Arabidopsis thaliana: one gene and its partners. The protein of the gene in region 1 interacts with the protein of each later gene in a pairwise test. Each region holds a gene or a part of one and is shown in the gene's direction. Other genes may lie near its edges.

The links.
Region 2: the proteins of DTX1 (region 1) and AT3G62560 interact in a protein complementation assay, tested with the Arabidopsis thaliana proteins (one large-scale study listed by BioGRID).
Region 3: the proteins of DTX1 (region 1) and AT5G50520 interact in a protein complementation assay, tested with the Arabidopsis thaliana proteins (one large-scale study listed by BioGRID).

The regions. Positions count from the first base shown.
Region 1 is NC_003071.7:1,334,549-1,338,302, reverse strand, and holds the start of DTX1 (MATE efflux family protein), read left to right. Parts: upstream 1-1,752; 5' UTR 1,753-1,822; coding exon 1,823-2,068; intron 2,069-2,156; coding exon 2,157-2,701; intron 2,702-2,792; coding exon 2,793-2,879; intron 2,880-2,960; coding exon 2,961-3,017; intron 3,018-3,109; coding exon 3,110-3,554; intron 3,555-3,638; coding exon 3,639-3,689; 3' UTR 3,690-3,754. Other genes in the region: AT2G04050 (MATE efflux family protein), read left to right, coding at 10-96, 182-238, 315-759, 867-917. UniProt on the Arabidopsis thaliana protein: Efflux carrier for plant-derived alkaloids, antibiotics, heavy metal and other toxic compounds. Involved in cadmium detoxification. Requires probably a proton-motive force for the efflux.
Region 2 is NC_003074.8:23,135,354-23,139,107, forward strand, and holds the start of AT3G62560 (Ras-related small GTP-binding family protein), read left to right. Parts: upstream 1-1,932; 5' UTR 1,933-2,185; coding exon 2,186-2,314; intron 2,315-2,426; coding exon 2,427-2,558; intron 2,559-3,206; coding exon 3,207-3,527; 3' UTR 3,528-3,754. Other genes in the region: AT3G62550 (Adenine nucleotide alpha hydrolases-like superfamily protein), read left to right, coding at 841-1,012, 1,101-1,210, 1,436-1,554, 1,634-1,721.
Region 3 is NC_003076.8:20,569,900-20,573,653, reverse strand, and holds the start of AT5G50520 (Major facilitator superfamily protein), read left to right. Parts: upstream 1-1,997; 5' UTR 1,998-2,066; coding exon 2,067-2,408; intron 2,409-2,604; coding exon 2,605-3,419; intron 3,420-3,508; coding exon 3,509-3,754. Other genes in the region: AT5G50530 (CBS / octicosapeptide/Phox/Bemp1 (PB1) domains-containing protein), read left to right, coding at 1-43, 168-234, 393-498, 589-647, 797-906, 985-1,103, 1,196-1,281, 1,363-1,452 and 1 more.

The DNA.
Region 1 (3,754 bases):
CTTTAATAGCCTAGAATGGTGGCTATTTGAGCTACTCATACTCTGTTCAGGTCTTCTCCCAAACCCGAAACTCGAGACCTCTGTTCTTTCAATTTGGTAAATATATATCATATAACGACTTCTTTTTATTTTTATTATCCTCTTTACTAAAAACTAATGAATCTTATTTCTTTAATGCAAGTCTTACAACAGCAAGTTTGCACTATGTGATTCCAGGTGGAGTCGCGGCGGCTGTGAGGTATGAACTCAAATTTTTAACCAAACATATTCAACATCTTCTTCCTAAACAATAATAGTCATTTGGTTTCTTGCAGCACACGCGTGTCAAACAAATTGGGAGCTGGGATTCCTCAAGTTGCTAGGGTTTCAGTATTGGCAGGGCTTTGTCTCTGGCTTGTAGAGTCAGCTTTCTTTAGCACACTTCTCTTCACATGCCGAAACATTATAGGCTACGCATTCAGCAACAGCAAAGAAGTTGTGGACTATGTGGCTAACCTAACTCCTTTGCTCTGCCTCTCCTTTATCCTCGACGGTTTCACAGCAGTTCTGAATGGGGTTGCAAGGGGAAGTGGTTGGCAACACATTGGAGCTTTGAACAACGTGGTAGCTTATTATCTTGTAGGAGCTCCTGTTGGAGTATACTTAGCTTTCAATCGTGAGTTGAACGGAAAAGGACTTTGGTGTGGTGTTGTGGTCGGATCCGCTGTGCAAGCCATAATATTGGCTTTTGTCACAGCTTCCATAAATTGGAAGGAACAGGTAAAACACTTAGAATAGAAGATTCGTCATTTTAGCATGTTATACTTGTACATTCTTTTTTGTTCTTTCTTTAATACTATGAAGTAATTTTAATCTATGATTTGCAGGCTGAGAAGGCTAGGAAGAGAATGGTCTCTAGTGAAAATAGATTGGCTTAAACTAAGGATGTTTCTGAGAGCTATCTCAAACTATTTTTGTAGGTGTTGAGCAAATTTTTATGTATGGTATATTAATGTGTTAAAAAATGTTCTTACAAAATAATTTATATGTATGATTTTTTCTCAGCCTATCTTTTTCACTATGTTGTGTAACTTGTAAGTGTATAATCATCATTTATCCATAAACATGCTTTTCTTAATTTTTTCACATGTCATTCCCAATAAATTTATTTTATGGTATTTGTGACTATAACCACAATCTTCTACCAATAAATCTTAGTGAACCCTTTCCGAGAGAGCTTTTAGGCTCATAATACAATACTATTCAGATTTTGAAACTCGGACCTTCACGACAAATCTCTGACGAAACTTTGGATTCTACTTGAGAGCGGCTGTCACTTTTAGTTTCAACCACAAATGATTTACTAAAACCTGTGTAAAATCAGATCCAAATGTCTTTAAAGTGGTCTAAAGAATCAAAACTTAAGGTAAGCAAATTACTTAAATTAGAGTCAAACTTTAGGACTATATAAAAATATAAAAATCCACAAAAGTAATTAATACAAGATTGAATGTTCAAACTCTACAAAACAAAATAATTCATATTAGTCTTCAGTCTTCACATATGTTCTTATGTAAATAATTAAAAAGTATTAACACTAATGACATGTCATTTTTAATATGTATATTCTATATATCTATTTTTATAATATAGTATATTCGTGTGCCACTAGTATCTATATTTTCAAACAAGTCAAAACGAATTTGCTTCTTTACTCATCATATCTACTTCGTCACCACGTTTGTAGTTCAAGTTGCCTTTGTTGTTTATTGACTTAGTCGGTCTATAAAGATAGGATAAATATCATCTTAAAATCAAAGGGAAAGGCCTTCAACGTTAAACAATGGAGGAGCCATTTCTTCTGAGAGACGAGCTTCTAGTCCCTTCTCAAGTCACATGGCATACAAATCCATTAACCGTCGAGCTAAAGAGAGTGAGCCGCTTGGCCGCTCCTATGGCCACTGTGACCATTGCTCAGTACTTATTGCCTGTCATCTCGGTCATGGTCGCTGGCCACAACGGCGAGCTCCAGCTCTCCGGTGTCGCTCTTGCAAACTCCTTCACAAACGTCACCGGTTTTAGCATTATGGTAATTATGCTATGACTCTAACCTTTTCAACTCAAGAATCAAATGGACTCTCTCAAGTATTGAAAACACTTCAATTATTTTTGTGCAGTGTGGATTAGTGGGTGCACTTGAAACTCTTTGTGGCCAAGCTTATGGAGCCAAACAATATGAAAAAATCGGAACTTACGCATACTCTGCTATTGCTTCCAACATACCAATTTGTTTCCTCATATCAATTCTCTGGCTTTACATCGAAAAGATCTTGATTTCTCTCGGACAAGACCCTGAAATTTCAAGAATCGCTGGCTCCTACGCCTTTTGGCTTATACCGGCTTTATTTGGCCAAGCGATTGTCATACCACTGTCCCGGTTTCTGCTAACACAAGGGTTGGTTATTCCTCTGCTCTTCACTGCCGTGACCACCCTTTTGTTCCACGTTTTGGTTTGTTGGACTTTGGTTTTCTTGTTTGGTCTGGGATGTAATGGACCTGCCATGGCTACAAGTGTGTCTTTCTGGTTTTACGCTGTGATACTCTCATGTTATGTGAGATTCTCCAGCTCTTGCGAGAAGACTCGCGGATTTGTATCCCGAGATTTTGTGTCTTCTATCAAGCAGTTCTTCCAATACGGAATCCCATCAGCTGCAATGATTTGGTAAGTCATTTTAAGTTGTTTGTCCGTCAAGTTACATACCCTAATGCTCTTCTTCTTATCCCGCTTGCATTTTCTCGGTCTTCTTTAATAGTCTAGAATGGTGGCTATTTGAGATACTCATACTCTGCTCAGGTCTTCTCCCTAACCCGAAACTCGAGACCTCTGTTCTTTCAATTTGGTAAGTACCATAGAAGGACTTCTTTTTATCTTTTGTGGTCTCTTTACTAAAAACTAATGAATCCTGTTTCCTTCTTTTCAGTCTTACAATAGAAACTTTGCACTATGTGATTTCAGCTGGAGTCGCCGCGGCTGTGAGGTATGAATATGATCTCAGTTTTATCATTCAGAACATCTTCATCTTATTATAGACAATTCTTTCCTAAACATTTAGTGATTGGTTTCTTGCAGCACACGTGTATCAAACAATTTGGGAGCTGGGAATCCTCAAGTTGCTAGGGTTTCAGTATTAGCAGGGCTTTGTCTCTGGATAGTAGAGTCAGCTTTCTTTAGCATACTTCTATTCACCTGCAGGAACATCATAGGATACGCATTCAGCAACAGCAAAGAAGTTTTGGACTATGTAGCTGACCTAACTCCTTTGCTCTGCCTCTCCTTTATCCTCGACGGCTTCACAGCAGTTCTAAATGGAGTTGCTAGGGGAAGTGGTTGGCAACACATTGGAGCTTGGAACAATACTGTTTCTTATTATCTTGTAGGAGCTCCTGTTGGAATTTACTTAGCTTTCAGTCGTGAGTTGAACGGAAAAGGACTGTGGTGCGGTGTTGTGGTTGGATCTACTGTGCAAGCCACTATACTGGCTATTGTCACAGCTTCCATAAATTGGAAGGAACAGGTAAATAGCCATTTCAGCTTTTTACACTTGTAAATTCTTTTATGTTCATTCATTAATGCTATGAAGTAATCTATGATTTTGCAGGCTGAGAAGGCAAGGAAGAGAATTGTCTCAACTGAAAACAGATTGGCTTAAACAAATGATGTTTCTCATAGTTATCTCAAACTATTTGTATGCCTTATGCAAATTTTTTTTGAAAG
Region 2 (3,754 bases), on another chromosome or scaffold:
AGCCACTGATTTACGGCGGAGAGCTCTTCACGTATTTGGGCCTTTGTTTGATTAGAAGCTTTGAGTGATAATAATTTTGACCCATTAAAGGCCCATTGATCTGGTCACATATAACCATTGGGTCCACCAGGAGCATTAAAGCTCAAACGCATAAAGAATTTTTATTTTTTAGTTGGAAGGTATCTGTATGCATCTTATCTTCGTTTTAGGGTCGTGATATTTTCTCAAGTTTTTCTTAGGGGACCAATTTATTTTTAGATTTATTTGATTCTATCTTACATTTCTCTTAGTTCACGTTGTCTTTGTATACGTGTTTATGGATATTACATAACTGAAAATCAAGATCAGTCAATCAGTGTAACATCAATCATCAATAACCCTGCGGGATGTATATAAAACTAAGGGATATATGAGGAAAATCAGATTCCAGATTAAGTTCATAAATATTGATTCACCTAAAATCTATAATAACATAGTAGTTCAGAAGCATGAAATAATTCTATAAAAAATCATGAATTATCTACATAAAAATATCGCATATTGTAGATAAGAGTCACCCCTGAAAGAAAAACGATAGTTTTCTGTATTTGGTTATCAATCAATCCTATGTGGGTTTATATCTTATCTAATGTAAAAATTACACAAAGGATAGTGTCTGCAAATATCTAAATGAAAACACTTAATTCCAAAATGAGAAATCAAGTGGGTTTTGCCTAGCTAATTGTATAAATAGTAACACAATCATAATCTCTTCTTCCATCAGGTCTTCTTCATAATATATTTCTTCTCTAATAATTGAAAGCAAAAGAAAACAGTTTTTTTTTTTAGAAAGGTAAAGAAATGGAGGAAACAAAGGAGAGAAAGATAGTAGTAGCAGTAGACGAAAGCGAAGAGAGCATGGAAGCTCTGTCATGGAGTCTTGACAATCTTTTTCCATATGGTTCCAATAATACACTCATCCTCCTCTACGTCAAGCCCCCTCTTCCCGTTTACTCTTCCCTCGATGCCGCAGGTTAGTCCTCGTTCTTTCACGATTCATATCTTTCCCTAATTATAATCTGTTCACTTTAGTTATAGATTTTTGTTTGGTCGATTTCCAGGGTTTATAGTGACAGGAGACCCGGTTGCAGCTTTGAAGAAGTATGAATACGAGCTCGTGGAATCGGTCATGGCTCGGTCTCGAACCGTGTACCAAGATTATGAGTCTGATGTAAGCTTATTTCTATCGATTTTTTATCACTTAATTTGCTGGATTATACTTGCTTAAAAAACTTGAGAAATTATGAGAAAGTGAATTTAATCAAGTAGTTATGAGTTAATCTGTTTATCATGAGCAATATTTAGTACAAAAAATATAACATATGATAAGCAAAATATGGTTGTTTTCAAAGAGAGTTGGCGAAATAAATGTAAATATAACCAAATTAATGTGCAGATTAATATAGAGAGACGAGTTGGAAGAGGAGATGCTAAGGAAGTTATATGCAACGCAGTTCAGAAACTTAGAGTTGATATGTTAGTAATGGGCACTCATGACTATGGCTTCTTCAAAAGGTAAGGTTTCAATCTCTTATAAGAAACAAAAATATTTTGGTTTAATGGTTATTTGATAATCATTTGATATATTTGATAGGGCTTTGCTAGGGAGTGTGAGCGAGTATTGCGCCAAACGAGTCAAGTGTCCTGTGGTTATCGTCAAGAAGCAAGCTCAAGATAATTAAGCTCATATGATTGCATTGTGTATATGTTTCGAAAGAACTGGTGTAACACTTGAATCAATCTTCGTATGCGATAATAAAATACATAACGGTTTAAACAAATTTAGCAGATATTTTTGCTTATATAAAACTAGCTGACAATGACATCAATCAACCAATTAAATTCAAATCTACATTCTCTACATACAATGCCAAATTAAAAACTAATGTAAACGCAAATTTCAATTTAACGTATAGAAGAATGTAATGAACCATATACCAAGTTTTGAATATTTGCAATTTTGTTGTTTGAACACTTAATTGTTGTTCGCTTCAAAGTTCAATAAAGGCCTCAAGGCCCAAAGTATATCTGTTACTCATCCAGTCGACACAGTCATACTTAAACGTCGCCGTTTCCGTGTTCGAAGCTTCGTGAAAATCTTCAATCTCGCGAGAGAGAAGAAGAAGAAGAAGAAGAAGAAGAAGCGATGTTCCTGGTGGATTGGTTCTATGGAGTTCTGGCAACTCTGGGACTATGGCAGAAAGAAGCGAAGATTCTGTTTCTAGGTCTCGACAACGCCGGCAAAACCACCTTGCTTCACATGTTAAAGGACGAGGTTCGTTTTCTTCGAGCCATATCAGTAATCGCTGTCTAGAATCTTGTTTCTTTTACTTAGCGCGAACGAATCAAAGTCTTAATCAGCGATAATCGTTTGATTTGGGTTTCAGAGACTGGTCCAGCATCAGCCGACACAGCATCCGACATCGGAAGAGCTTAGTATCGGCAAAATCAAGTTCAAAGCCTTCGATTTGGGAGGTCATCAGATTGCTCGTAGAGTCTGGAAGGACTATTACGCTAAGGTTTGATCTTCTTTCTTCTTTGGATTTTATTGTTAGGTCAATCAATTTAGCAAGTCTTTGGAAGGACTATTGCGCTCGTATAGTTGTATGTAGACTCTAAGCTGACTCTGTTATAGATTACAATCTTCCCTGTGCCCATATAAACAATAGTTAGATGATAGAGGTGAAGTGAAATCTTCAATGAAGTTTGTCATATAGCAATTCTCTTTTGAATGTTGCAGCATGAGGTCCTGTGATTACATTCTGCTGGTTATGTGTACCTAGTAAGCTCTTGCTGTGTACTACTCCTACTCTGTTCCTTAGCCACTGTGTTGCTCCGTTGGGTTATATAAGTTTGCAGATGATAGTTTGAAATGATTGAGCTATAGTAAAATCTTCAGATGATAGATATACATATACATCATATACTGTAGTTTAAAATGACATTGTGATTGGTATGTGGAGCCAGTGGAGGTTGAAAATTAGAAGATTGTATAGCTATAGACTACTCTTACTGTCAGTTTTAGAGTCATGAGGTCCCTTGTGATTTACATTCTCATAGCTGATGATTCCAGTGAATCAAGAGATTAATAGACTCCGGTGTTTCTATTAGCTACCCTCTTTGCATTCTATCTTCAAGTTTGTAACTTTATTATTGTCTCGTATTAGGTTGATGCAGTGGTATACCTAGTTGATGCATATGACAAAGAGAGGTTTGCAGAATCAAAGAAAGAGCTTGACGCTCTTCTCTCTGATGAATCCCTAGCAAATGTCCCTTTCCTCATCCTTGGAAACAAAATCGACATTCCGTACGCTGCATCAGAAGACGAGCTGCGTTATCATCTAGGCCTCACCAGTTTCACCACTGGGAAAGGTAAAGTGAATCTAGCAGGAACAAATGTTCGTCCTCTTGAGGTGTTCATGTGCAGCATTGTCAGAAAGATGGGTTACGGCGAAGGATTTAAATGGGTTTCTCAATATATCGACTAGATCAATCATATTTAAGTCTTATCTATCTATACTGTGTGATTGGTATCTGTACGTGTTATAACCTAATGTATAATTACGATTAATGTGTGTATACAACAAGATTTGACGGCTTTTAAATTATCAATTTTGTGTTTACAGACCAAAGTTGAATCCTATGAAAAGTGTGAACCCATTTGTCTGTGACTGTGTAACTGTGTGGGGCTTAAGAAATGGCTGTATCTTAGCTT
Region 3 (3,754 bases), on another chromosome or scaffold:
CAGCCATGGTGATGGTGGAGAACAAATTAGTTGGGATTCTAACGTAAGTGTCATATTTGGCCCCTTGTCTTCTTTTTCGTTTCTATGGTTCTGAAATTTTTTCTCTACAATATCATGTTTTAATCTTTTCTAGTGGAACTTTGATCTTAAATTGTGATTTTTGTTAGCTCAAAGGACATCTTGATGCGGGTGATATCCCAAAACCTTCCTCAAGAGACAACTACTGTGGAGAAGGTAAAGTTTTCGTTAAGTTCGTGTTTTCGCTATATATGTATGTATGCTTATGCTCGTTAGTTTTGAATCTGGTTGAAATTATTCTTTTCAACTCTTAGATTTATATGAGTACTCATTTTTCGTCTTTGTTGTTTCTTTTCAATCCCATTATTCTATAGGTTATGACACCGAATCCAGAATCTGCAACAGTTGATATGGCAATTGTTGAAGCCTTACATATCATGCATAATGGCAAATTTCTGCATCTTCCTGTATTGGATAAAGGTAACAAAATGTCCTCAAAACTGACTTTGAGCTATAAAGTATGAAGCATTGTTATTTCAACACTTGTCTAATGTTGATGATTACATACAGATGGAGATGTTGTCGCTGTTATTGATGTGATCCACATAACTCATGCTGCTGTTACTACGGTACACTTTTTTTCTTCTATTATTCTCTTCTAGTTGAAGTCGAAAACATGAGACAAGATCGATAAACAATCCGAGAGAAGAAAGAACATGATATATTTGTTGCATACTATTCTTGTTTTGCTATAAACTCTTTATTTCCTTTTGACAAGGCTGGAAGTACGGCTGGAATAAACAATGAGACAGCAAACTCAATGATGCAAAAGTTTTGGGACTCTGCTATGGCTTTGTCTCCTAACGAAGATGGCGATGAAACGAGGAGGTTTCTACTCATATTCCTTTGAACCATTTAGTTTTGACCATAAGGTGGTTTCTTAAACTGGATCATATGATTTTTCAGTGAAGAAGAGTCGATGAAATTATCTTCGGAGATAGAAGTAACAAAATCATTTTCATATCCCAACACATTTGCTTTTAAACTCCAAGATAAAAAGGGACGAATGCATAGATTTATGTGTGGTACGTTAAATCATAACTCTTGAGAAACAGGACACCTATTATGCCAATGCTGCTTAGTCCATTAACCTTTTGTTTTTACTTTTCAATAACAGAAACACAGAGTTTGACAACTCTGATAACAGCAATCCTACAAAGAATGGGGGATGACATTGAGCCTGATAACTTGCCTCAGATAATGGTACATATTTATTCGAAAACTTATTAAACGAGAAGATAGGAAAAATTTTCTTCTTTTGTTGACATATTTTGTGTTGTGTAGTACGAAGATGAAGACAATGACAAAGTTGTTTTAGCATCAGATAATGATCTTGGAGCTGCTGTAGAACATGCAAAATCAATAGGCTGGAAGGTAATAAATTGTACATCCATACTTATTGTCAATTAGTGTAAAGAACTAGGATGAAATGATACCTTAAATCCGCGGTCTCGTTTTGGTTAATGTGGATTTTGGGCTAAAGAAGAGTATATTTGGGTTGGGGATTCCAAATGGTGCAGGGTTTAAAATTGCATTTGGACTACACAGAAGAAAGAGGGCACAGGAGAGGTCTAAGTTCAGAGGATATGGACTACGACCAGTCAAACTCATGGGCAGCCGCTTACAAAACGGTTGCAGCCGGGGCTGCTCTTGCTGCTGGACTTGGAGTTTTGGTGTACCTTAAGCGCAACTCAAACTAACAGATTCATTTTGGGGAGATACAAAAGTGAATGCTTTTGCAAACCAATTTTTAAACCTAAGCTTGTGAAGTGTATACCTCTTCATTGATTCGTGTTTTTTTTTTTTTTTTATCTTGTTGCTTATTTGTTTCTCAACCTTACACATGAATTGTATATAAATAAGTAAACATTTTATTTGTATTTACGGTGTTGTCCAAACTTTTCTTTGAAACTGAAAATTACAAAATAAGTAATCATATGAATCAACGAAAAAAAAAAAGAAATAGAAAGTTTTGAGAGCGTTTGACTATGATGACTTTGTGGCGTCACAAACTAGAGCTCCTAGTCAACGACCGATGGCTAGTTTTCGTCTGCGCCATGTGGGTCCAATCCGTCGCCGGCGTTGGCTATCTATTCGGCGGCTCTATGTCTCCGGCAATCAAGACTTCCCTTGGCTACAATCAGAAACAGATCGCTCTTCTCGGCGTAGCTAAAAACCTCGGTGACGCCATCGGATTCGTCTCCGGTGCTTTATCTGAAGTCTCACCTTCCTGGGTGGTTCTACTCGTCGGTGCAACTCAGAACCTTTTCGGCTACGGTGTTGTTTGGCTCGTCGTCACTGGCCAATTGCCTAATTTGCCTCTCTGGATGGTGAGATGAATTTTACAAATCAAAATTGCTTACACATTTGCGATTTCGTTAGTAATTGTGCTTTGCTTTTGATTATTTGTACGATTCTCTAATTTTGGCTTGAACTTCCAGATATTCAAAAAAAAAAAAAAAAAAAGATGTTAAAGCTTACATATGAGTGTGATCCTGCTTGATTCTGGTTTATTTGTTCATGTAGTTGTTTGTTGCTATATTCGTGGGAACAAATGGGGAAACATACTACAATACAGCGTCGCTTGTGTCATGCATTCATAACTTCCCAGAAAGCCGAGGTCCTGTGGTGGGAATCCTGAAAGGGTTTTCTGGCTTGAGTGGAGCAATCTTGACTCAGGTTTATTTGATGTTCAACCCTTCTCATGATTCTTCGGTTATTCTCATGGTTGCTCTTGGACCACCAGTCGTGGTTCTTGCTCTACTATTTATTGTTAGACCCGTGGAAAGAAGTTGCAGAACGAACTTGCGATCTGATGATTTAAGATTCCTGGCTATTTACGGTTTCTGTGTTGTCCTTGCGGTATATTTACTAGGATTGTTGGTACTTCAGAGTGTTTTTGATATGACTCAAACGATTATCACAACCTCTGGAGCCATCCTTGTCATTTTCATGGTTGTTCCAGTTCTTGTCCCTTTTTCATCGGTTTTCATCTCGGGTAATAATGTCACCTCAGTGAAGCCTGAAGAAGGAACTTCCAATGTGGATCAGCATGAGGCTAGAACTTTAATTGAGAGAAGTGACAGACCGCCGGAAAAGAAAAGAGCGCCGTGTATAGGAGAAGATTTCACCTTGTTACAAGCTTTGGGACAAGCTGACTTCTGGCTTATATTTATGTCTCTGGTTCTAGGTGTAGGTTCGGGAATCACGATTATAGACAATCTTGGTCAGATTTGTTATTCCCTCGGGTACAGCAACACCAAAATATTTGTCTCACTGATCAGCATCTCCAATTTTCTCGGCCGTGTTGCTGGTGGCTACTTCTCTGAGCTAATCATAAGGTACAAAACCCTTAACCATTTCACTTTCGCTTTTAAGAAGCATCTGTGTTTTTTACTGACAGATTCATCTCTTTCTGCCTCTTCAAAAGGAAACTCTCACTTCCAAGAACGTTGGCAATGTCTGTGGTTCAGGCGATAATGTCTTTGGGGCTCATCTACTATGCCATAGATTGGCCAGGGAAGATCTACGTAGTGACCATTGTGATAGGAATGGGTTATGGCGCTCATTGGGCGATTGCTCCTGCTTCAGTCTCTGACATTTTTGGCCTGAAGAGCTTCGGTTCTCTTTACAATTTCCAGATTACAGCTTTGCCTATTGGGTCATTTGTGTTCTC